Saccharomyces cerevisiae S288C: one gene and its partners. The protein of the gene in region 3 interacts with the protein of the main gene of each other region in a biochemical or structural test. Each region holds a gene or a part of one and is shown on either strand. Other genes may lie near its edges.

The links.
Region 1: the proteins of YKT6 (region 3) and SED5 form a complex in vitro, tested with the Saccharomyces cerevisiae proteins (3 studies listed by BioGRID).
Region 2: the proteins of YKT6 (region 3) and VAC8 form a complex in vitro, tested with the Saccharomyces cerevisiae proteins (2 studies listed by BioGRID).
Region 4: the proteins of YKT6 (region 3) and GOS1 form a complex in vitro, tested with the Saccharomyces cerevisiae proteins (2 studies listed by BioGRID).

The regions. Positions count from the first base shown.
Region 1 is NC_001144.5:194,950-203,328, forward strand, and holds SED5 (t-SNARE syntaxin), read right to left. Parts: upstream 1,524-8,379; coding exon 501-1,523; downstream 1-500. Other genes in the region: ESCRT-III subunit protein SNF7, read left to right, coding at 1-225; aspartate transaminase AAT2, read right to left, coding at 1,880-3,136; bifunctional phosphoribosylaminoimidazolecarboxamide formyltransferase/IMP cyclohydrolase ADE16, read right to left, coding at 4,591-6,366; 60S ribosomal protein eL15 RPL15A, read right to left, coding at 7,027-7,641; YLR030W (uncharacterized protein), read left to right, coding at 8,341-8,379. UniProt on the Saccharomyces cerevisiae protein: Required for vesicular transport between the endoplasmic reticulum and the Golgi complex. Acts as a target organelle soluble NSF attachment protein receptor (t-SNARE).
Region 2 is NC_001137.3:127,074-132,667, reverse strand, and holds VAC8 (protein anchor VAC8), read right to left. Parts: upstream 3,844-5,594; coding exon 2,107-3,843; downstream 1-2,106. Other genes in the region: E2 ubiquitin-conjugating protein UBC8, read right to left, coding at 117-768, 892-896; YEL014C (uncharacterized protein), read left to right, coding at 4,060-4,365; EDC3 (Edc3p), read right to left, coding at 4,384-5,594. UniProt on the Saccharomyces cerevisiae protein: Functions in both vacuole inheritance and protein targeting from the cytoplasm to vacuole (cvt). Involved in the formation of nucleus-vacuole junctions (NVJs) during piecemeal microautophagy of the nucleus (PMN).
Region 3 is NC_001143.9:69,824-78,209, reverse strand, and holds YKT6 (palmitoyltransferase YKT6), read left to right. Parts: upstream 1-2,675; coding exon 2,676-3,278; downstream 3,279-8,386. Other genes in the region: threonine--tRNA ligase MST1, read left to right, coding at 1-952; MIA40 (Mia40p), read right to left, coding at 1,178-2,389; PEX1 (AAA family ATPase peroxin 1), read left to right, coding at 4,345-7,476; putative serine/threonine protein kinase PTK1, read left to right, coding at 7,990-8,386.
Region 4 is NC_001140.6:38,315-41,444, forward strand, and holds GOS1 (Gos1p), read right to left. Parts: upstream 1,173-3,130; coding exon 501-1,172; downstream 1-500. Other genes in the region: GUT1 (glycerol kinase), read right to left, coding at 1-194; ECM29 (Ecm29p), read left to right, coding at 1,770-3,130. UniProt on the Saccharomyces cerevisiae protein: Involved in transport from the ER to the Golgi apparatus as well as in intra-Golgi transport. It belongs to a super-family of proteins called t-SNAREs or soluble NSF (N-ethylmaleimide-sensitive factor) attachment protein receptor.

The DNA of each region.
Region 1 (8,379 bases), on a different chromosome or scaffold from region 3:
TTGGACATGCTGGCTCAAGAAAATGCTAACCAAGAAACGTCCAAGATCGTTAATAATAATGTTAATGCGGCGCCTATCTCAGAGAACAAAGTCTCACTACCTAGTGTTCCAAGTAATAAAATTAAACAAAGTGAGAACTCTGTGAAGGACGGGGAAGAGGAAGAGGATGAAGAAGATGAAGATGAAAAAGCATTAAGAGAACTACAAGCAGAAATGGGGCTTTGAACGTGTTCTATGCGGTTTAGATGAAAGAAAAAAAAAAGGTGTTCTTACTTTCCATGTTCTGTATACGCTCTTTTATATACATGAAGTTCATAATGCTAAGTCATAATTAATAGTTTTTATTTTTTTGTTGTCTTTTTTTTTTGCGTTCATAGGTATAGAAGGGAATGTGCATTCATTATTTTTATCTGTTATTGCTATATTATTGTACAGAAAAGATGAGAGAAGGAAAAAAAATAAATAATCAAATATGTATCTTTTTTTCTTTTACTTTGCTTTTAATTGACTAAAACCCAAATAACGAAAAATACAAAGATTATAAAAAAAACCTTTGCGGCTAACCATCTATTACTCTTTATCCTGTCGAAGTATTTCAAAAGTTCCCTTTGAGCACCACTAATGTTTAAATCGATGTCGTCTACGTTTGCATCAATCCTTTGGATTACTTCGCCCTGTTCTTGAACCATGGAGGCCAGTTGTTGGAAGAGATTTCCCACTTCCTGGATTGTGGATTCTATTGTCTCCACCGCCCTATTTCTTTCTTGTAAGTAGACGTTATTGGATAACTGTCCCTCTTCCATTAACATTAGTTGAGAGTCGTTTTGAGGGAAAGACAGTTCTCCTTGGTTGGACGAGTTGTTATTCTTTTCTGAGGATTCATCTAGTAGTGAGGTCATGAATGGGTTGGAGTTGTTATACGTGGTCAAGTCCGCGGCGTGATTGCTTTGCGTTTGGTCATCAGCTGGTGCATGTCCAGTGTCGGTGGTTAGTTTTTGCCATCTGTCTTTGTTAGCCATTTCTAGTCGTTGCCTTTCCTCCAATACGTCTTTAAAACTTCCTGATATGTTTTTCATTTGCGTGTTTAAAAGATTTACGACATTTTTGGAGTGCTGTACGGCACTAGGTTGCTTAGAAGATTGATTTGATGTGTTGCCATTCACGTCGGTTTTCTTGAGCTGACTTAATTGCACTAAACTTTGTTCGATGGCATAAATCTTCCTTTTGATCAAAAATGATAGCTCGGCAATCTCTACAGGGTTGTCATTGAACATCGGTTTCCTTTTGGCCAGCACTGCTAATTTCGATAATAATTGTGCGGTGGATGAAATTTCGTGAGCTATGCCAGAAGCCTTTTTTTGAAACTCAGAGACACTTTTCCCATTGCCGGTTGTGTTGTTGGCAAAGTTTTCACTTTCTTTCTCTTGTAGACGTTCCCTCTGCTGTTCTCTAAAGTTTTTGTTTCTTTTCTTGTAACTCAACACACTTTGTTGAAATTCTGAAGTTCTATCCTTTATGTTCATGGGAGTTGTGTGGTATGGTGAAATGGTCGTTGGAAACAGAGGTGGAATAAAATATATACAGTAAAGAGTGGGTGATTTCCGTTCAAAGGTCTAACAGGAGCGTCGATGCGGCGGTAGGATTTTTTTTTTTTTTTCAATTTCTATATTGACATTATTATCATAATGATTGTTTCGAATATGCCCTTTCGCCTCGCCTCGATCAATAAACCTACCCGGATATTACAACAACATAATAATACACCTGTGAAGGTAAAGAAAGAGCATTTCTCTTTTTTTTATTTTTTTTTTTTTTTACTTTCTTTACATTAAAAAAAATATGAAGAGTGTAATAGGTAAGTATAAGTATTATTTAATCATTACAATTTAGCTTCAATAGTATAGAAGCGCACCACTTCATCAATGGCTTTAGCCACGTATTCCACGTTTCCTTGATTCAATCCAGCAATAGAAGCTCTACCTGAGGCAACCAAGTAAACTGCGTGGGTTTCTTCAAGTCGTTTAACCATTTGAGGAGTCAATCCTGTAAAGGAGAACATCCCGCATTGATTTACTATATGATCCCAGTTGCCAGGAGTGCCCAACTTGACTAAATGGTCTCTTAATGCGTGCCTCATTTTCGTAATTCTGGAGGACATGGTAACCATATCCTTGTGCCACTGTTCCGTTAATTCTGGCGTTTCCAACAGTTTAGCGACAATCTTAGCGCCGTAGGCGGGTGGGTTGGACACTTCACTACGAATGATTTTGGCCAATTGAGATGTAACAGCAGGCTTTATAGTTTTGTTTTGAGCTTGTTTTGTAAGTGCTAGATGGAAACAACCTACACGCTCACCGTACATACCGGCGTTCTTGGCAAAGGACTGACAGACAAAGACGGGAGAGACCGTTGAAAGCTTCTCCACACCTAGACGCACAGCATAGGCATCCTTGTCCAAATCTCCAGTGGCAAACCCTTGGTAGGCGGTGTCAAATAAGGCGATGTGGTTCTTTGAGGCGATAGCATCAACGATTTGAACCCATTGTTCACTAGTAGGGTCCAGACCAGTTGGGTTATGGGCGCAAGAGTGCAGAACGAAAATGGAGCCCTCTGGAGCTTTTTGAATAGCATTTAGAAAGCCGTTTAGGTCCAAAGACTTAGTTTCGTTGGCCCAGTAAGGGTAAGTCGCCGTTTTCAAGCCTTGATTCTCAAAAATGGCCATGTGGTTGGCCCAAGTAGGCTTAGACAAATAGACCAGTTTATCTGGGAAGAATTTTGAAAAAAACTTCGCAGATATATGAAGAGCACCCGTACCAGACAGTGATTGTACTGAGATTACTCTGTCTTCCTGAAAGGCATCGGATTGCGTACCGAAGATGATCTTGGCGGCGTTAGATGTCAAACTTGGCAGACCGGTAATACCGAGGTATTCATGGTTGTAGGAGCTGTCGTTATGAATTAGCTTTTCGGCGGCTTTAACACTTGGCAAGACCCATGGTTTACCGTTGTCGTCTCTGTAGGCCCCGATACCCAAGTCGACCTTGGTAGCACGTTGATCTTGCCCGTACCTTTGCTTAATACCAAAAAGGGCATCAGGGGGCAGCAATTCGATGTTATTGAACAGAGTGGCAGACATTATCGCTCTTGTGTTCTTGTATTCCTGTGTTCTTTTGTTCATTAGAATTTGGACGGTTGCGCTTTCCCTTCTTAAAGTATCCACATACGTTTATATACCGACGTGCAAGGCGACAAGGTAAATGAGGCCGATCACGCTGACTCACTCGGTCCGACTCTCGGCGATCGTTATTCACGAAGACGAAAGATAGCCATTTCCAGTGGTGACCATTAGTATTGACAATATGTACATCGCATTAAACAGTAAGAAAACATTAATATTCCGTCAGGAATTCCTGTAAATTGCTCTTACTACAAACCTGCAATGCCCATATCATCATATTCAAAGTAAAAATTTCATTTTCCGTAATTATTCTTATCTTTGGGTGCTTTGTGGCAGCTACTGGAGTAATTGTGTATAATAGATGCCACTAGTGCAGTTAAATGAAATATCCTACATTGAGAGTTTAAAAAATTGCCTCCTTGTATGTTTCTTGTAAATAATGATTTTATGTCCTTCTAGCGTAGTAACCCTAAACCATCAGCGGCTATTATTAACATTGTTACCCTGACAGTGCTTTTTTATTTCAAGAAAAATTTTCCTTTAGATTCTCTCGCCTATATAAACACTTTGAAACTCTCATCGTCGTGCATTTAACTTCTATGGTAAACTTCTTTTCCCATTCAAGTTTCTCTTTGCTTATTTGTAAAAAAAAAAGTAACCATAGTCTCGTGCTAGTTCGGTACTATACAGGGAAGGGAAGTCACTCGCATACGTGTGTGTGCATTTCTTGCTATTGCTGCTTAGCTTCTCTAAAACACTGGGCTAGCGTTTTTCAACGCTCGAGAGGCAGAGTCTCAAGGAGCCTCCAATGGGCCTCACGTATTCATCTAGATGGCGCTTCGGACAACGGCATCACATAAGAGATGCAGCTCCTGACTTCTCCTCTGATCTTCGTGATCAGAGTTTTGAGTCGTCAGACTACGAGCAGTTTCTCTTAGTCGTTGCATCGGGTGCTGTTGCCTTAACGATGTGTATATGGGGTTCGGGGGCTGTTGCCATGATATATATGGATGAGACAGAAGTGGCCCCGTTGACGAGTTTAACTTAGATTAAGTAGGACGCATGATCTTGAGCTCTTTTCCTATACTTTGTCCTATGGCCAGCTTTCTCCTTATTACGAAGAGATTGCGGGATGTGGGTGCAGAGTGGGAAAATCTGAGTTCGGTCATCTTTGTTGTTCGTCCTACCGCAGTATATTCCTAAACACTATGAAATGACCCTAGTTGGTCCATGATCATTTGGGTAAAACCATACTGCAGACATCTCTATAATTCACATATTCACATCTTGTCCTCTCGCAGAAGAGGAAGGCCTTTGACGTAGAAAATTAAGTAAATCGTATACGTTTACGTATATACACTTGTATTCAGCTATATATGTTGTTTCTGTTCTTCTCATAAAATGTACCCTACTTAGTGGTGGAATAAACGAATTGGGTTCTCCACGTAGACGATATCAAATGAATCCGCCGCTTGGAAGACAACTTTGTCCATGACAGACCCCGAAGGAGCCGTGATGAACTTTACACCAGACTGCACAGCTCTATAAACGTTGTCTGGGAAGGGAAAGAACGCATCGGATGATAACGATACATTGTTTAATTTGCTTAACCATTCTAGTCTTTCTTCTTTGGTGAAAGGTTCAGGGACTTCTTCAAATTTGCTTTCGTAATCCACCTTTTCCGGGCCTTCTATTCTTTGCCCTGTAACAAAAAGATCAATCGCATTCGACTTGTCCGCTCTCTTAATTCCCTTGGCCCACTTCATGTTCAAAACCTTTGGATGTTGTCTCAACCACCAGTTGTCCGTCTTGTCACCAGCTAATCTGGTACAGTGTATACGCGATTGTTGGCCGGCCCCAAGCCCCACAACCATACCATTCTTTGCGTAGCAAACAGAATTTGATTGTGTGTATTTTAAAACCAGCGTAGCAACAGTTAGATCGATAACGGCTTGCTCGGTAAGTGCTTTGTTTTTGGAGACAATTTCTTTGAAAGTGGATTGGTTTATGATCGCATCGTTTCTCTTTTGTTGTAACGTTACGCCAAAAACCTCTCGGGATTCCATTTGGCCAGGAACATAGTTTGGATCGATTTGTAAAATACAGTATTTTCCGTTTTTCTTCTTAGATAGTATATTCAATGCCTCTGGTTCATACCCTGGAGCAATAACACCATCGGAAACTTCTTTAGAGATGATTTTTGCAGTGGCGACATCTACAATATTGGACAATGCAATGAAATCACCAAAGGATGACATCCTATCTGCACCACGGGCCCTAGCGTATGCGCATGCCAATGGTGATAAATCCTCCATATCATTCACAAAATAAACTTGTCTTTCCACATCGGATAATGGAAGTCCCACAGCAGCACCTGCTGGAGAAACGTGCTTGAACGATGCTGCCGCAGGCAAGTTCAATGATGCAGATAACTCTTTCACTAAGGGCCATGAGTTCAAGGCATCCAAAAGATTTATATATCCTGGTGTACCGCAGAGCACTTTGAAGGGCAACTCCTCCTGCTGAGTGATATAAGCTTGTGCAGGTCTTTGGTGGGGATTACAACCATATCTTAGCGGTAATTGGGCTTTCCCTTCGGAGTACTGTTTCCTGAAAAAGTCAGAAATGGCCGCATCATAATCGGCCGTATGTTCAAACGCCTTAAGTGCAAATCTATTTCTTAAATCCTGAGAAATTTCACCGTCCTTAGACAGGTCTTGCAGAAAGATAGAATAGTCATTAGGGTCTGAAAGAATAGTCACTCTGGAATGGTTCTTTGCGGCTGCTCTCAACAAAGTCACACCGCCAATGTCGATCTCCTCTACAGCTTCTTGAACTGTAACACCAATTTTAGCCACAGTTTCTTTGAACGGATATAGATTACATACAACAAAATCCACCTTATCAATGTGCTGCTCTTTTAAATCTTTTTCATCGCCCTCTAAATTTCTGGCAAGAATACCTGCATGCACAGCAGGGTGAAGAGTCTTGACTCTACCCCCTAGCATTTCTGGTGCATGCGTAATTGAAGAAACATCGTCGACCGGAAAACCAGCTTCTCTGACCATGTTGGCCGTACCACCGGATGCTAGGATACGAACATTGTTCTCTACCAATCCCTTGGCTAAGTCTAATAAACCTGTCTTATCATAAACTGACAAGATCGCAGTCTTGGTATATTTGCCCATTTTTAGCTCTTTTGTTTTTTGTCCCTATTTATGGTATATTTGGATTCTTTGTTTGGAATGGGGTATTGATTAGATCTTGAATGTTATCTAATCGCTAAAAAGAGCAAGAAAAAAACACAAATGCTGAAAACTGGAAAAAAGGACGATCTATTTGCCAATTATTAAGGCTTATTCTTAAAGTGGAAATAGCCCTCTCTTTTGCTTTTCTTGAGTTTTATCTAATGGCTCTAATAAGGAAAAACGGGAAGAAAAGGAAAGAAAAAAAATACAAGAAAATAAGGTGCGACTAAAAAGAACATGGTGTTAATTTATGCGGCGGAGAAATTTACTTGAGCGTAAAGATATTATATATAAGTATTATGGTAGTGCCACCACCTATGTAAGCTGCTAGCATTGGTATACGTAGAACAATTAGGACTCCCTCGTCCGCTCCTTGATACAGGTAGATAAGTTCTGCCTGAGGGGAGGATTGAGAAGAGGGGGTAGGGGTTTGCTTGATAGCAGAATAAAAGTACAGCTCTAGGTCTATAAAAAAAAAAATTGGTTAAAGAAAAAATATACAGGTTTGTATATAGAATCATTAATTAAAAAGATAATAGTATAAAACACATCAGATAAACAAAAGTTTGCCCAATAAAATTATATTTTCCATCAACCAGCTTATTTTCTGTATCTCCACAAGGACAAAGTGTTTTGTCTCTTCCAGGTCTTTCTTCTACCAGCCTTGGTGTTGTTGAATTTGTGACCCTTGTTGATACCTCTGGATTTCTTACCAGTGGCAGTCAAACCTCTAGCTTCACGGTGCTTGTGAACTGGGTCACAGATCCAGTTGTAACGAGCATCTCTTCTGATAGCCTTGTGTTGAGGGTCGACCAAGATAACTTCGAAGTACTTGTAAGTAGAATCTTGGTTAACCCAGTAGGAGTTCAAGACTCTCAAGTTAGCGGCACGACGACCAACTCTTTCTTCAGCGGTAGCTCTCAAGGATCTTTGGTATTTCAATTCATTGACACCTTGGTTAGTTGGCTTACCGTAAGTAGCACCCTTTGGAACAGGTCTCTTTCTGTTACCACGTCTAACTCTGACACGGTAGATAACGAAACCTTGCTTAGCTTTGTAACCCAATCTTCTAGCCTTGTCTGGTCTAGTTGGTCTAGCGGCTCTGTGAATGACATTCTTTTGTCTGTATTCCCAGACTCTGACTCTTTGCAAGAATCTCAAAACATCAGATTGCTTCTTTCTTTGCAATTCTTCCAAATATTTGTAGGCACCCATTGCTGATTTATTTGTTTGATCGTGGTTTTCTTAGATTGTAAAAGAATTACTTAAGGATAGGGAAAGAAACGTGAGAAATAGCAGTTAAATGTACCGGTGGTAAAAATGCAATGCCATCATTCTTTGTTACCAAGCAAAAGTGAGAAATCTTGAAAAATTTTAGCACCTTTGAAAATTTTGCGTCAGCTCCAAGAAATTTCAGAAAATATATTCGACAGCTTTAAATCCGTACATTTATCAAAAAAAGAATATAATATCATGTTTGACGATGTATGCTATGTAAATCATGTCATAATACGCATCAATTGATACTACAAATGCATCTCGGATAGAGACATTGTCATGATAATCGCAACACATGTCGCACCTGGTGCATGTTCTGAACCTTAACACTAAATATTTAAACGTCATGTAGGGTGCGAGTCCATCTCATTCTTGCCCAATAAATTTTAGAAACACCCTCTTATGAAGGGCGGCAAAACATATTAAGTAAGTGTCGATTGTTAAACACTTCCCCTTTTTTTATGCATAGTAAAAGGTACAAAGAAAATAGCGTACCGTCCTTAAATCAATATAGAAATATAATGAAAAAATAAGTGCTTTGATAAGAATATCTTGAATACAAATTAAGAAGTGTATATTTATAGATATTTTCGTTTCAGCTTGTGTCTGTGTGTGGCCTTATATGTAATATATGAGATGGAAGGTGAACAAATTATGGAGTATGTTCAAGAGACA
Region 2 (5,594 bases), on a different chromosome or scaffold from region 3:
TGTAGTTGCTTGATAGTTGTTTGTAATTATAGTCGTACGTGTGGTATAGTATGCCATCATATATACTTATACATACATACATATATATATATATATATATATGTGTGTGCTCGAAATTATTGATTTGCGACTTCGTCGTAGTCATCGTCATCACTGACATCTATGTCACTTAGATCCTCGCTTAACTCATCTACGCTATCATCGCCACTGGAAACACCAGTGCCATCCATATCTTCATCAGAATCACTGTCCTCTTCTTGTAAATCACCGCCGCTATCACTGTCATCGCTATCATTATCTCCGCCAAACATTTGTTGGTACTTTTCCTTTGTAGCATACTTGTCTATATACTCTTTGATTTTTTCCTCATACAGTTTTTTATCTCGTAATTGCAATGTGGCAGCTTCGTTATTCAAGGGATCGCTACCATTAGGCTCCTTTAATAAACCTGGTATCATCCACTCCACTATATTTATCAGATCATATAAAGGCGACCATGTAGAGTTAATTACGTCCAAACATATGGACCCCGATGCGATATCAATGTTAGGATGGAATATCTTGTTAACGAACCCTATGCTTGGCGACTTGTATGGGTAATTATCCGGCAACTCTACATGTAACCTCCAAACCCCATTTTCGTAGGGTGTATCCTTTGGTCCCAAGAACTTTACATGAAACTCTTGCATGCTATCATTGATTAAATCCACTTGATGATCACTCATCAACAGTTTCATAACATCTGTCTCGATCCTTCTTTTAGAGCTACTGTTTCATTAAACGATATCTTTGAAGTTCATTGACATTTTCTTTGTTAGTGATCCTCATTCTATGGCATACTTTCTCAGAAGAGTGATATATAAATATACGTATATATCTTATCAAACATACCTCATCTTTCGTATTACGCTCCTTTCTTCCAATATTCCTTATGAAATACTATTAATATTTTGCTCTTACTTCTAAATTATATTCGAAAACTATCTCGCTTGATAATTACGGATTACACTATTTATCAAATGTGGCAGAACTGGAAATCCTACCTATGCTTTACGTTAGTGATACTTAAGCGCAGATAGCTGTTTCCGGTGCTCACCCTTTTTTTTTTTAATTCCACTGCTCCGGGAGCATTACCCGGTGGACGAAGCTCAACCTACTATTATTAAATAAGAAAACGTAAGAATGTATATTTACGCAGATGTGCACACGAGCATTGAAACAAGGATTAATGTGCCACTGATAGAATTCAGACTGCTGTGTGATTAAGAGGAAAACAAATTATCGTGAAGAATCGTTGATTCGCCTTTATATATTCTTGTATTCTTTAAGAGACATGCATTGCGATAATTTCCCCATGATATTCTTAACCTTATGAAGGGTCAGTCTACTGGAAGGTGCATGAAATATGAGTGAACGTATTTTCATTAGCAGATGAGAGACACCGGGATTAAAAAAACTATGTGAAGAATAGTGTTGATATATGATAAAATTATTGTGGAAATCAATAATTAAGAGGTTTTATAGTGTAGTGGTTATCACTTTCGGTTTTGATCCGAACAACCCCGGTTCGAATCCGGGTAAGACCTATTTTTTTCCCCCGCTCAGCTAACTTGTATTTTTAATAGATCTCCCACCATCAGAGGACGAAGAGAGAACTGTATTATCAATTGTGTTTTATTACAATATATTCTAAAAACGAAGATATAGATGTTATCTAGAATTGGTTTTTGTATGTAGCCCTTCTCTCCCGCTTTCTCACTTTTTGAACATTACCTCACTACAGTTGCCATTCAACAATGTAACGAACATTATCCGTAGGTAAAATTTACGACACTTCAAACTTCTAGAAGGAAATAGGCATATACTACGGAACAAAGACAGCCTCTTATTCGTTTTTAAGTTTTTTCTTCTTTTATTAACAAAAAAAAAAATAAAATAAAAAAAATCAATTGAAATTAGAATAGAGTAGAGTAGGTAGAAGTAATATGATGTAAAAAAAGGAAACAAAGATTAAAAAGATGGAAGAAATGGAGAGAAAGAAAATAAAACTTCTGAGAAGAAAATTTTGATAAAAATTATAATGCCTAGTCCCGCTTTTGAAGAAAATCAATGTAAAAATTGTAAAATCTGTTGAGTAATATTATACAATTCCAAACTTGCATCCTCTACAGGTTGATGTTCAGATCCTGTGTCATTGTTATTACTGTTGTTATCATTCGAGCTTGGATTGTTGTTGCTCCCCGGATTTTTAACATCAATTCCTGATCTTTGTAAACGCTCAAAGGTCACATCTGCCATTTTTCTCACTCCGTTAATGATGTCGTCATCATTTTTAACCAAATCTTCCACTTTATCATTATGACTTTCTAGCAATTGTAAAATTGTCCATAGCGCAATGTGTTCAAAGGTAGCATAGTCACTTTTCAAAAATCTAATCAGAAATCCACGAATGCCTTCATTCGGACGATCCCATGCTTCAATAATTTTTGTATAATTATTCACTCTTGAACATAGATTTGCCAAAGCAGCAGCAGCATTACCAGAAACTTCTTGGTTCTGGGAAAAAGTCATAGGGATTAAAGCATCTAAGATATTTGCTTCCAGTAGATCCAATTTGGAGACATCTGCTAGGGCTAAAATAGCAAAACATGCGGAAATTTCACTTTGAACACTAACAGGTGAATCTAGAGCCAGTTCCTTACATTTTTCGACAGCACCACTTTCGAAGAACTCTTTTCTGTTTTTTTCAGATGATGCAGCCAAATTTCTCAAAGTAGATACGGCGTGACATTGAATTTCTTCTGAATCCTTATAGTCCAACAATCTTACTAATGGTTTTAAGAAACCTGCATCAACAATTAAACCTTCATTTAGAGGGTGAATAGAAATGTTTCTAATGCATGCCACACTAGCCAAAACCAGTGGTATAGAATCACTTTGAATCAACTTTACCAAATGAGGCAACCCACCAGCCCTTACAATTTCTAATTGGTAGCTTGTATCGGACGCTAGGTTTCGTAAAGCCAAAGTAGCTTGACATTTTACCCTTGAAGATGGAGAATCCATCAGACTAACCAATTTGGAAACCAATCTTGGCTCAGTTTGAGCCAACTTCTTGCGATTGGCTTCATCCACTGCTATATTTGATAAAGCAGTAGTACAATAGTACTGAACATCAGGATCGGTGGACGACAGTAAAGATACCAATACAGGCACAGCACCTGCATTAACCAATTCTTTTCTATTTTCCTCAGAATGTGTCATATTTAATAATGCACCTGTAGCATTTCTCTGAACTCTTATATGTTTGGATTTAGCTAGCTTAGTCAATGGAATTAAAGCACCAGAAGTAGCAATCTTATGTTTATTGTCATCCCTTGTGGCTAAATTGGTAATGCATCCAACAGCATTACATTGAACTTCTACATTGTCACCCATCATTTGGTTTATTAATGGCTCTAAGCCTCCCATTTCCACAATTAATAATTTATTTTCATTATTAACGGCCAAATTACCCAAGGCTGCACAAGCGGCCACTTGAATCTGTGGATCTTGGCTTTGTAATAATATTAAGATGGGTTCCAGTACCTCTCTAGAGACCTGACGGACGTATTTTTCAGTAATTTCTGCGAATGCCAGAGCGGCGCTCCTTTGCAAATTTAGATTATCTGAATACACCAAAGTAGTTAGGGCCTTTAGTGGACCACCAGAGTAAAAGTCTAATTGGTCTTTATCCTCCAAATACCCTAGTAATAAAGTCACCGCTTCTCTTTCATTATCGGCAATTGGTGAGACACTGGCCTCGTCTGAAGAATCTTTCAAGCAACTACAACATGAACCCATAGTTGCAAATGTATATATAGTACAGAAGAAAGAACACCCTTATAGTTTGCTCAGTTCCTGTCTTCGTAGGATTGGAAATTGGCTAATTGCTTTTTATAGGGTTGTATAAATATATAATACCTTATTTTAACAACAAAAGGAAAAGTAGGAGATTGAACAGCGAGTCAACAAAAAAAAACAGAAAGCAAAGCAGACTCACACAAAAATTTGATCACAATGACAGCACTATTCTGCCTTGAATTGAGAACTAATATATTTCTAATAATGAATGATTGTATTATTATCAATTACTGGAAAGGGTTCATTTTTTCTTTCCACTCGTATTTTTTTCCTTTTCGTTTTGAGTCCTCCTTAAGGGCTCATTACCCGGGAAAGAGAAATTATTCAGATTTTTCTGTTATACCGTTACCTTATTATATAGATGTTCGCAGTTTTCATATTTGTGAGAGCCAACACATTATTGCATTACCGCTACAGATCCCACTTCCTTACCGTATGCTTATACGTATGTATCCAGTTTAGGCTAAAGTAATTCTTGGTTTACAAATCTAATAGCAGGGACCCGTCAGTGACGAAAAGATCACAGTTTTGGAACTTACGCAAAGAAGTTCTCTGTGAATAGGCGCCCTGTGGTATACCTATATCAATCAAAACAGCATCTTCTAGACTTGGCAAATTTGCAATTAAGTTGTTGATGGCAATCAAAGGCCAGCCAGAACAAATAATTCCTGTTGCTTCAATCCTGTCTGAAAAGAAAATATCTGGCATGCCGGATCCCGCATCAAACCCATTTGGAATATCCAAAGACCACACTTTAGTAGATCCTCGCTGTTTGTTACACCATGATATCATGCTTTTAATTCTGCTTTCAATAACTTCCGACGTCCCCGCCAGATCGCTCAATGTACAGTCATATCCCTGCATGGCATCGATGACTATTTCTACAGGGCTATTTAATGTTTCCATAGCAGATTCCAGCGACGATACACTATTAACAATTTTTCCGCCACACTTCTTGTAAATATCTGTTTGCTTTTTGACCATGGAATCCTGTAGTTCATTTTGAGAACATGTAAATAATGTTATGACACGGATATGCCCCGTTTGGCAAAGATGTCTACCCAACGCCAGAGCTTTCGCACCAGATCTGTTGGAATCTGAGGCTAGTATTACTACTAAAGGTTCCGGATTAGAATTTTGTAAACGTAAACGTGCACGGCCACCTAGTTTCTGCTTTAAGAAGAACGATGCGTTTACAGCAAAATTTTCTAGTAGCCCTGCCGAGTTAATACTGAAAAATTCGGACGTGATGCTCTCCATTTCTAGTAGTTGTACTGGTGTAGCCATAGGAATGTTCTGCTTAGTGTTCTTTGATCTGATGGTTGTTTGTTTATTTGCAGCTGGCAAGGATGTTGAGTTGGATCTTGACTGGCTGATGATCATCTGGCCTAATTTAGCTAGTACCTGATCCTTATCATTTATAACTGTACCTTTCGTTTTATCATTTATGGATGGAGAGTTAGTTGCAGAGTGAATTAAATGTGTAATATTCAAAGACTGAGTTATTGGTAGGTATTTGGGATCATCGATATCATCGACATCGTATTCATGTTCATCATCTTCCAAAACCAGATCATCTTGAGCATCTTGTTGCGGCTGAGATTGGTGTGTGCTTTGCTCATTTCTTGAAGAAATCTTGTTCCATGAATCTTTCTTTGCATCTGGAATAACCAATTCATCATTTTGATAAT
Region 3 (8,386 bases):
GTATAACGAACTTCCCCTACGCTTCTCTGATTTTTCACCACTACATAGAAATGAAGCTTCTGGTGCACTGTCGGGATTGACTAGACTAAGGAAGTTCCATCAAGACGATGGTCATATCTTTTGCACTCCTTCCCAAGTGAAATCAGAAATTTTCAACTCTTTAAAATTAATCGACATAGTTTACAACAAAATTTTCCCCTTTGTTAAAGGAGGTTCTGGAGCAGAGAGCAATTATTTTATAAACTTTTCTACAAGACCGGATCACTTCATTGGAGACCTCAAAGTTTGGAATCATGCTGAGCAAGTACTCAAGGAAATCTTGGAAGAATCAGGCAAACCGTGGAAACTGAACCCTGGTGATGGTGCGTTCTATGGTCCAAAGTTGGATATAATGGTTACGGACCATTTACGCAAAACTCATCAAGTCGCTACTATTCAGTTGGACTTTCAGCTACCTGAGAGGTTCGATTTGAAATTCAAGGATCAAGACAACTCGTACAAGAGGCCAATTATGATTCATAGAGCTACTTTTGGTTCTATCGAAAGATTTATGGCTTTACTGATAGATTCTAATGAGGGCCGTTGGCCGTTTTGGTTGAATCCTTACCAAGCTGTAATTATTCCCGTCAATACGAAAAATGTGCAACAGCTAGACATGTGCACTGCCTTGCAGAAAAAACTACGTAATGAACTGGAAGCCGACGACATGGAACCAGTTCCTTTAAATGATTGGCATTTCAATGTTGATCTCGACATAAGAAACGAACCCGTAGGGTATAGGATCAAGTCGGCCATTTTGAAAAACTATTCCTATTTAATTATCGTGGGTGATGAGGAAGTACAGTTACAGAAATACAACATTCGAGAACGTGATAATAGAAAGAGTTTCGAGAAACTTACAATGTCTCAAATTTGGGAAAAATTTATTGAGCTGGAAAAAAACTACAAGTAACTTAAAATATATGACAAACTTGCCCTGTAAATAAAAGGATACGATTTGATGTATAGCTGGATTCATACAGAGACTAGACTCATCCGCCCCACAGATGCATTAATTCATGTATATTTCACATATTATACCATATGTAGTCATTAAACTAAGATAATATTACTGTATTTACATGTATCATCCTTTATACTTTTATACTTTTTACGTTCGGGAGATTTTCAGGAGATTTTAAGGTTTGGATTCCTCATTCAATGGTTCTTTTTTCACATCTGATTGCTCTGCTTTTTTCGCAGCATTTTCCTTTGCGCTTGAAACATTTGGCGCTGATTCTATTGTGTTGACCTTTACTTTGTCTTGAGGTTCCTCATCATCAGATGTTTCCTTTAGTTGTTCTGCATAATGCTCGGGGTATTTTCTGAAACAGTCTTGCATATGTTGAAACTTTTCAACACAGTCGATACCTTTTGGTTCAGCTTCAGAATAGACGAAGCAAGAAAATGCAGATTTGAACTCTTCACCACAGGGTCCATGGGCCATACCTCCCAAGCAAGGACAGTCCCAATTTATCTCACCAGTGTCTGGGTTATAAGCACCTTCGTGTTGAACCTCTTCTTCAGTAGGACCCATTTGCTTTTCCTCTTGTTTTCTTAGTTCTTCTTTCTCTTCATCGCTAGATTCAGATTGCTTAGCTGAATTTTCCGAGTCACTTACAGTTTTTTTTGAGGATTCTTCTTCTCCATTATTATCTTCAGTAGTTGTCTTGTCATCAGATTGTCCCTGTTGCGATTTTTCATCATCTGAATGTTCTGGATCTTTTTTTTCAGAAGATCCAGCATTGTTGTCTAGTGTTTTGTCACTAGTATTTTCTTCCGAGTTCTCAGAACTTATGTTTTCATCCTTTTGATTGTTAGCGGTGGCATTGTCTTCATTGGATTGCTCATCATCTTTGGTTGATACCTTTGATTCATCAGTATCTTTATCTTCGGAAGACTTGTTGTCTTCTTCTGCTAGAACAACCAATTCACCATCTTCAGCTACTTTTGAAGCACCAATTTTATCACCCCCTAATTGAGGGCCAGCTTCAGTTTCATCGTTTTTGCTGTCGTTGTCATCTCCATTTTCATCGCTTTTGCTGTTGTTGTCATCTTCATTTTCTGGTGATTGCTCACCACCACTGGAAAGCTCTTCCTCTGCGGTTTTATCGGATTCTACCTTCCTTGAGGCGAAAAGAGGCTTCCTATTAGGAGCAATAAAATATAAAGCACCAGCCATAGAAAGAATCCCCATTATAAAGCCCGCTGTTTTTTCCTGATTGGAGTTCCTACCGAACTGAGGGGAGGACGCCATGAGACGTCTTGTTTGGTGTCGGCATAACCCCCTTGCCACTTGAATTGACGGCCTGTTTCTGCACGCATTCCTGACGACTAAGTTGCGAAGCATTTTACTGATAATATACACTCTTTGGATCGAGCCTACTTCCAGTTGGTAATTGGTGTTCCACAATTTCAGCATTATATGTTTTTAAACCAAAATTCGGCTCCTTTTCCCTTTTTTTCTTATTGGGTGGCGTGCCGTACAGAACGATTGGCTTGGTGTGAAATCAAGAGCAAGCACAATAGATATCAACATGAACAATATACAAAAGTCTCTGGCACAGTTTGACTGCGTTAGACCAGGCTAGGGCATTTCTGAAGCTTTACGTATCACTAGAGAAGTTATTTTGGCAATGAGAATCTACTACATCGGTGTATTTCGCTCTGGAGGAGAAAAGGCTCTAGAGTTGAGTGAAGTTAAAGACTTGTCACAATTTGGTTTCTTTGAAAGGTCTAGTGTTGGCCAGTTTATGACTTTTTTTGCTGAAACGGTCGCTTCTAGAACTGGTGCAGGACAAAGACAAAGTATAGAAGAAGGCAACTATATTGGCCACGTTTATGCCAGGAGTGAGGGCATATGTGGTGTTTTGATCACCGACAAAGAATATCCTGTCAGACCAGCATACACACTATTAAACAAAATATTGGATGAATATTTAGTCGCACATCCTAAGGAAGAGTGGGCAGATGTGACTGAGACCAATGATGCATTGAAAATGAAGCAACTGGACACTTACATTAGCAAATATCAAGATCCTTCACAGGCTGACGCTATCATGAAAGTTCAACAAGAACTGGATGAGACGAAAATCGTTTTGCACAAAACGATTGAGAATGTTTTACAAAGAGGTGAAAAGTTGGATAATTTGGTGGACAAATCGGAGTCATTAACGGCAAGTTCCAAAATGTTTTATAAGCAAGCTAAAAAATCCAATTCGTGTTGCATCATCATGTAGATGCATCCACACACTATTTTCAGCATAGTGTGGCTTTTCATCTGCTTTATGTAATTTAGAAAGCCAATGACAGCAGCAAGGGAAACAAAAATCTTTTAAATCAAATTAATTGTTTAAATAATATACTATGTAAGCATCGATTCTCCTAACTATTATAACCAAAGGTTGATTTGAAGCCATTGGCATTGTATTAGAATTGATTTGTTTCTTCAGTGTAAAAAAGTTAAAAATAAGCGACCCCAGTGAGGGTTGAACTCACGATCTTGCGATTAACAGTCGCACGCCTTAACCAACTTGGCCATGGAGTCTAATTGCTATATTTTTCTTTTGAAAACAAGATATATAAATAATGCTTGAGCTGGAGCATTTACGTTGTAAATGTATAATTAGTGTAAGAAACCGCTGGGCCCTATTTGTTGATGAAGTATTTACTTAAATGTAACAGAATATACTGGAAGTCCCCCCTCGGGCACATGGAAATTCACTAAAAGGAATTGGTAATGCATATGATATTACTACCGTTTCTCATTTCACTTTATATGCTTTCAGTGATTGTGTTACTACGTGACAGTTCTTACAATTCAGCGCCGTTACTCTCTATGAGTGCTCTCATTATTTATATCATATTCTTACACTTCATACAATTATATATACTCGTACCATGGATATTAGAGGATAGTTGGTTTTTGTTTAAACTAATTCTATGTAACCTCGATGGCATGAGTCCATAATACTGTACTGGCGTATGCCCTTGTTTGTGGTCTTTGTGCAACCATTTCAGGCTTTCTTATTTGCACAGGGCAGTTGCGACCCTGATAAAAAAAAATGGCTGATCAATCGGCGTGGACAAAAAAAAACATCGATTTCTATATTCATGGTAATCTGTCGAATTCTCCAACCAAGTTAGCTGGACTTTATTGTCTTATATCCGATTACTATCGCGATTTATTCTTGTGCGTAGCCGCAATTATAAAGGTCCGGAATATCTCTCCGACTATTGTCATCGTCGAATTTCTTCTGGAAGGGACGGCAGTAACAAGAAACACCTGAGGAACTGCTCTTTCAAATGACGACGACCAAGAGGTTGAAGTTTGAGAATCTGAGAATCCAATTCTCCAATGCCATAGTAGGAAACTTTTTAAGGTTACCGCATTCAATTATAAACGTGTTAGAGTCAACCAACTACGCTATCCAGGAATTCGGTATAGCAGTCCATTCTCATAATTCAGATATACCTATTGTTCATCTTGGATGGGATGGCCATGATTCTGGATCGAGTGAGAATGTTGTTCTTATCAATCCTGTTTTGGCCACAGTATATGATTTAAATCAAAAGTCTCCATTGGTGGACTTATACATCCAGCGATATGACCACACACACCTGGCTACGGAGGTGTATGTCACGCCAGAAACGAGTGATGATTGGGAAATTATCGATGCCAATGCGATGAGGTTCCAAAATGGTGAGATTTTGCACCAAACCCGTATAGTTACCCCAGGTGAGACTTTGATTTGTTATTTGGAAGGAATTGTTACAAAGTTCAAAATTGACAGGGTGGAGCCATCAATGAAGTCTGCGAGGATCACAGATGGTTCCTTGGTTGTTGTGGCACCAAAAGTCAATAAAACACGTTTGGTGAAGGCTGAGTATGGTCATAGTAATAAGACAATACTAAAAAATGGGGCTATCCAACTTTTAAAGAAGGTAATATTGAGGAGTACTGTGTGCAAAATGGACTTCCCTAAAGATAACCTTTTTGTCGTATATATCAGTGACGGGGCACAATTGCCTTCTCAGAAGGGCTACGCTTCTATCGTAAAATGTAGCTTAAGGCAGTCCAAGAAAAGCGATTCAGATAATAAATCAGTTGGTATCCCTTCGAAGAAGATTGGGGTTTTTATAAAATGTGATAGTCAGATACCCGAAAATCACATTGCATTAAGCTCTCATCTTTGGGATGCATTCTTTACGCACCCAATGAACGGAGCAAAAATCAAACTAGAGTTTCTACAAATGAATCAAGCAAATATAATATCCGGAAGAAATGCAACAGTCAATATCAAATATTTTGGCAAGGACGTTCCTACCAAGAGTGGGGATCAGTATTCTAAGTTGTTGGGCGGGAGCTTATTGACCAATAACTTAATACTTCCAACAGAGCAAATTATAATCGAAATAAAAAAAGGTGAATCCGAGCAGCAGTTGTGTAATTTGAATGAAATTTCCAATGAATCCGTTCAATGGAAAGTAACCCAAATGGGTAAAGAAGAAGTTAAAGATATTATCGAAAGGCATTTGCCTAAACATTACCACGTCAAAGAAACTGGCGAAGTTTCGCGCACTAGTAAAGATGAAGATGATTTCATTACGGTAAATAGTATCAAGAAAGAAATGGTCAATTATTTGACATCGCCTATTATTGCCACACCAGCTATTATATTAGATGGTAAGCAAGGGATCGGTAAAACAAGGTTATTAAAAGAGCTTATAAATGAAGTGGAAAAAGATCATCACATCTTCGTTAAATATGCGGATTGTGAAACATTGCACGAGACATCAAATTTAGATAAAACCCAAAAATTAATTATGGAATGGTGTTCTTTTTGTTATTGGTATGGTCCTTCTTTGATTGTGTTGGATAACGTTGAGGCTCTATTTGGAAAACCTCAAGCCAATGACGGAGATCCTTCTAATAATGGCCAATGGGATAATGCAAGCAAACTTTTGAATTTTTTCATCAATCAGGTGACAAAGATATTTAACAAGGATAATAAACGAATCAGAGTTTTATTTTCAGGCAAGCAGAAAACTCAAATTAATCCGCTATTGTTTGATAAGCATTTTGTTTCAGAGACGTGGTCTTTGAGAGCACCTGACAAACATGCAAGAGCGAAGTTACTGGAGTATTTTTTCTCGAAAAACCAGATCATGAAACTAAATCGAGATTTGCAATTCAGTGATTTGTCGTTGGAGACAGAAGGATTTTCGCCACTAGATTTGGAAATATTCACAGAAAAGATTTTCTACGACTTGCAGTTGGAAAGAGATTGTGATAATGTTGTAACAAGGGAACTTTTTTCGAAGTCGCTTAGTGCGTTTACACCATCTGCGTTGCGTGGAGTAAAGCTAACAAAAGAAACGAACATCAAATGGGGGGATATTGGTGCTTTAGCAAATGCCAAAGATGTCCTTCTAGAAACCTTAGAGTGGCCCACAAAATATGAGCCTATTTTCGTTAATTGTCCCCTAAGATTGAGATCAGGAATCTTGCTTTACGGTTATCCTGGTTGTGGTAAAACGCTTCTGGCGAGCGCCGTGGCACAACAATGTGGGTTAAACTTTATCTCCGTTAAGGGACCAGAGATTTTAAACAAGTTTATAGGTGCCAGCGAACAAAACATAAGAGAATTGTTTGAAAGGGCACAGTCCGTCAAACCCTGTATTCTATTTTTTGACGAGTTCGATTCTATTGCGCCAAAGAGAGGGCATGACTCCACTGGTGTCACAGACCGTGTAGTCAATCAATTATTGACCCAAATGGATGGTGCCGAGGGCCTTGATGGTGTATATATACTAGCAGCTACAAGTAGACCTGATTTGATTGATAGCGCATTGTTAAGACCGGGAAGATTAGACAAAAGTGTGATCTGTAATATACCGACTGAATCAGAGAGGTTAGATATCTTGCAAGCTATCGTCAATTCAAAAGACAAGGATACGGGACAAAAAAAATTTGCATTGGAGAAAAATGCAGACTTGAAGTTGATCGCTGAAAAGACAGCTGGTTTTTCGGGTGCTGATTTACAGGGGCTCTGCTACAATGCTTATTTGAAATCTGTACATAGGTGGCTGTCTGCTGCAGACCAATCGGAAGTGGTACCCGGCAATGATAATATAGAATACTTCAGTATCAATGAGCACGGGCGTAGAGAAGAAAATAGACTACGGCTAAAGACTCTATTGCAGCAAGATGTGGTGCACGAGACAAAGACAAGCACTTCAGCTGCTTCTGAGCTGACAGCTGTGGTCACAATAAACGATTTATTGGAAGCCTGTCAAGAGACAAAACCTAGTATTTCAACAAGTGAGTTGGTCAAATTAAGGGGGATTTACGATAGGTTCCAGAAGGATAGGAACGGTGAGATGCCCAATGGTGAGAATTCCATCGACATTGGTAGCCGACTCTCCCTTATGTGAAAAGGAAGAAGAAAAGAACAAAGCGCGTTTCCCTTTAAAGGGCAAAAAATGCGGCGCACGTTGCTTATTACGTGACATGACCCTATTGTATTGTGCGAGCACGCAGGACGGGAAAAATATTGGTGAAATTACATAACGCATTTTTTTTCCCTTGTGGTGAAAAGGAAAAACCCGAGAAATATGCCAGTAACAGTGGAGACCGGTCAAGATGTATTGAACGAAATCCGAAGTTGCATATATAACATAAATGCCTGCTACCTTTTGATACTTAATTCTTCTTAGCACCTATACGCTTTTTTTTTCATTTTTCCTTATCTTTTCTTTTTCTCGCAGAAGTCTATACAAAGAAGAAATATATATATATCTATTTCTTTTTTTTTTCAACCGTATACCACCGGCAACAAACCTCCATGTATTCATAGGCCCTGCATTACATCAAGAAATATTAGCATAAACGTATAGACCATTTTAACGCCACAGGCAAGCATACGCATTAAATCGCACCACCAACCAATGACAGTCTCACACAATCATTCTACGAAGATATCCCAACAACCAATCTCCTCGGTATCAGCATTTAAGTTCTTCGGAAAGAAGCTGTTAAGTTCAAGCCATGGGAACAAGTTGAAGAAAAAGGCGTCTCTACCTCCAGACTTCCACTCTACAAGTACTAATGACAGCGAATCCTCCAGCCCAAAACTGCCGAATTCGTTGAAAACCTCTCGCCGTGCAAACTCTTTCGCTCACACAACCAACAGCAAGAGATCTTTATCTTCCGCCTCAACCAAGATCCTACCTCCGGCCGGCTCCAGCACGTCCATCTCAAGAGGAAACAGACATTCGTCCACTTCGCGTAATCTCTCAAACTCCAAGTTCAGTAGCGAACGATTAGTGTACAATCCATACGGCG
Region 4 (3,130 bases), on a different chromosome or scaffold from region 3:
TTGAACAGAATGCATCTGGATGAGGTCGTTCCTACATCAATACTGGCGATAAGCGGGACGTAGTCACTTCGTAAATCTTCCATTATTTTGGACATACGGCTCTGTTCTTGTTTTAAACTAGTGTAAAGGCGCTGGCTTGATCGGAATATGTAACGTTTGGAGAATACTACAAGTCGGAAGAGAGAGGGAAACATATAACTATTTGTATAGTTCCGGCCACAACTCAAACCACATGGTATATTTTATATGGTTCGAGAACAGGCATCCCCCCACATTTTATTACACCTTATCCGTTCTAAAAGTCTTGGCTGTCTTTTTTTCCTTTCCTTTTCCTTTTTTTTTTTTCAATTTTTTTGTCAATGCAGTCAGCCCCTCACTATGCTACTCCACACCCTTTAATTGATGGTTTTACTCCAATTAGAAGAGAAGAATTACGAAATGGCCTGTATGGGTAGATTCTTGTTATGTTTTTACATACGTTGTTTAATAAAAGTCGTTATTTACCATGTGAAAAACAAAAACAGTATACAAAGGGTGGTTATCGTGGCCAATACAAACGCGTTTTTCTTCCTTCTCGTGTTAATCTTCATAATAAGCTGATTGACACCTGGTATTCTTTGTAAAGTTTGCAACACCTTGTTGTTTGCCGTGTTCAGCACGTTGCTCTGCGAGTGGAACTGCGACCGAGTCTCCCAGGCTTGGGAGATGAGACGGTCGACTACGTTGTTGGACTGATCGATTCGCCTTGTTTCGTTCTGAATGTACTCGTCAGCATCCCCTATAGGAGCTGGCGCGTCCGTTGTGGAATTAGCAATATCGTTCTTCACGCTGAATAACAAGTTTAGTCTGTTGCGCTCTTGCTGGATGGAGGACCTGATATTGCGGAAGCTCTTCCAGTGGTCTTGTAAGATCTCCTTGTGGCGGTGCAGTTGGGAAAGCTTTGAGGCGGAGATTGCCGGGTTAGAATCGCAGATTTGTGTTAATGAATCGATTACATCCTGTCTCTGGCCTAAGATTCCCTCCAACTGCTTGTCTATCTTCTTTTCTTGGCCAGTTTGTTCTGAACTAGTTGTCTGCGCGAATGTGGAGTACTTGGAAAGAAGTGACTCCGTTTGTGTTTCTAGAGAAATGGCCTTGCCCCTTATGGTGACGAAAGACGGTTGTGAGCTCATGTGGTGTGGTTGCTTGTCTGGAATTGGGCTTTTCCCTGTGTCTAGTTAGTTTATTTTTTCCTTGTCTTTTTATCTCTTTTTTTTTGTTTTTCGTTCTCTTTATTTTCAACAACGCCTAGAAAATTTGGTTACCAACCACACTATTGAACAAAGATAACTAACTGATTGAACAAGAGTAGGCGTCTTACACTGGGTTTGCAAGTGTCATTGACTTTTGTTGCATTGCTGTGAAATGCACATTCGGAGCAGTTGAAGGTCTCTTGCTGAATGCTCACATATTTTCAAAATATTGTTTTGGCTGCGGAGTTTGTGCCTGATCAGTAACTACCAATCTCGTGAGATTTTTCATAAGCATCTTTGAAAGCTTTTATACTTATTTGATCTTTGTATATATCAGGTTTTACCAGTTTAGCCGCCAGAGTTTTGGTATTTATGTGTTACCCGGTATATCCATATGCCTTTTCTTGGTGGCAAAAAAAAGGTACTTCCTGATATAAAGAAGCTGGTAAGCTCTCGATAACTGATCTCTTTGTCTTTGTGCAGGATTGGATAATACAATAATTATAGAAAAGTTTCTATTTCACCACGAACAACATTATGTCCATTTCTTCTGACGAAGCGAAAGAAAAACAGCTCGTGGAGAAGGCAGAATTGCGCCTGGCTATCGCAGATTCCCCTCAAAAGTTCGAAACTAATCTGCAGACTTTTTTGCCTCCATTATTACTAAAACTCGCCTCTCCACATGCCTCCGTTAGAACAGCAGTATTTTCAGCCTTAAAAAACCTCATTTCTAGGATAAATACGCTGCCCCAGGTTCAGCTTCCTGTGAGGGCGCTTATTGTCCAAGCAAAGGAACCCAATTTAGCCGCTCAACAAGACTCGACCAATGTCCGCCTTTACAGTCTGCTACTGGCGTCTAAAGGCATAGATAGGCTTTCCTTGCAAGATAGACAGCAGTTGCTACCGTTAGTCGTTTCGAACATCTCGTGTCTAACAGGCACAGTAGCCGCCAGAATGTTCCACATCCTTTTGAAGCTTATTTTGGAATGGGTTGCACCCCAGGAGTCTTCACATGAGCAGGAAGAATTTGTTCAGTTCCTTCAACTGGACAACGACGGTTTTTCGTTTTTGATGCGCCAATTTACCAGGTTTTTTCTGCTGGTACCTTCAAAGCAAGTCCAGGTTTCTCAACAGCCCCTGTCGAGAGGTTACACATGTCCGGGCCTATCTCTAACTGATGTGGCATTCTTTACTTATGATGCGGGCGTTACTTTCAACAAAGAACAGCTGAATAAGTTCAAAAAGGCTATTTTTCAATTTGTTTGCCGTGGCATGGCGGCTACCCAAACTATTGAGCAGTCACCTAGGATGATTGAACTGATGGAATTTTTGTGCGTTGTCTCTACGGATTCTACAAATTTATCTGATGATGCGGCTCAGTTCATGAAACGGTTTCCCATGCCTTATGAAAACGAAGAGTTCATCACCTTTCTTCAGACGCTGTACATCGGCAACACAGCAAATGGAAGACCGCCGGTCAAGGCTATCTTGCAAGAAAAAATCCTGTCCATATTAAACAGAAGTCACTTCGCCACCACCAAAGCAGAATGTATTTCGTTGATTTGCTCTATTGGATTGCATTCATCTGAGTATAAACTTAGATCTTTGACTCTTTCTTTTATTCGACACGTAGCAAAATTAAATTACAAAAATTTAAATCCTGCTTCTTCATCACCTTCATCAACAGACTTTTCCACTTGTATTGTTTCCTTGATTAGAAATAATCTTCATGCCGAAGGTTGGCCGAAGTTACAATTGGGGCCTCAGACCCCAGCTTTCAATACAGCCATTCTGCAGAGACAGCTGCAATATGAAACATTGGGTGATATCTTGAAAAGAGATTTTGAGCTTGTAAGTGACTTATCCTATATTGAATTTCTATTCGAGTCCTTGAAAAA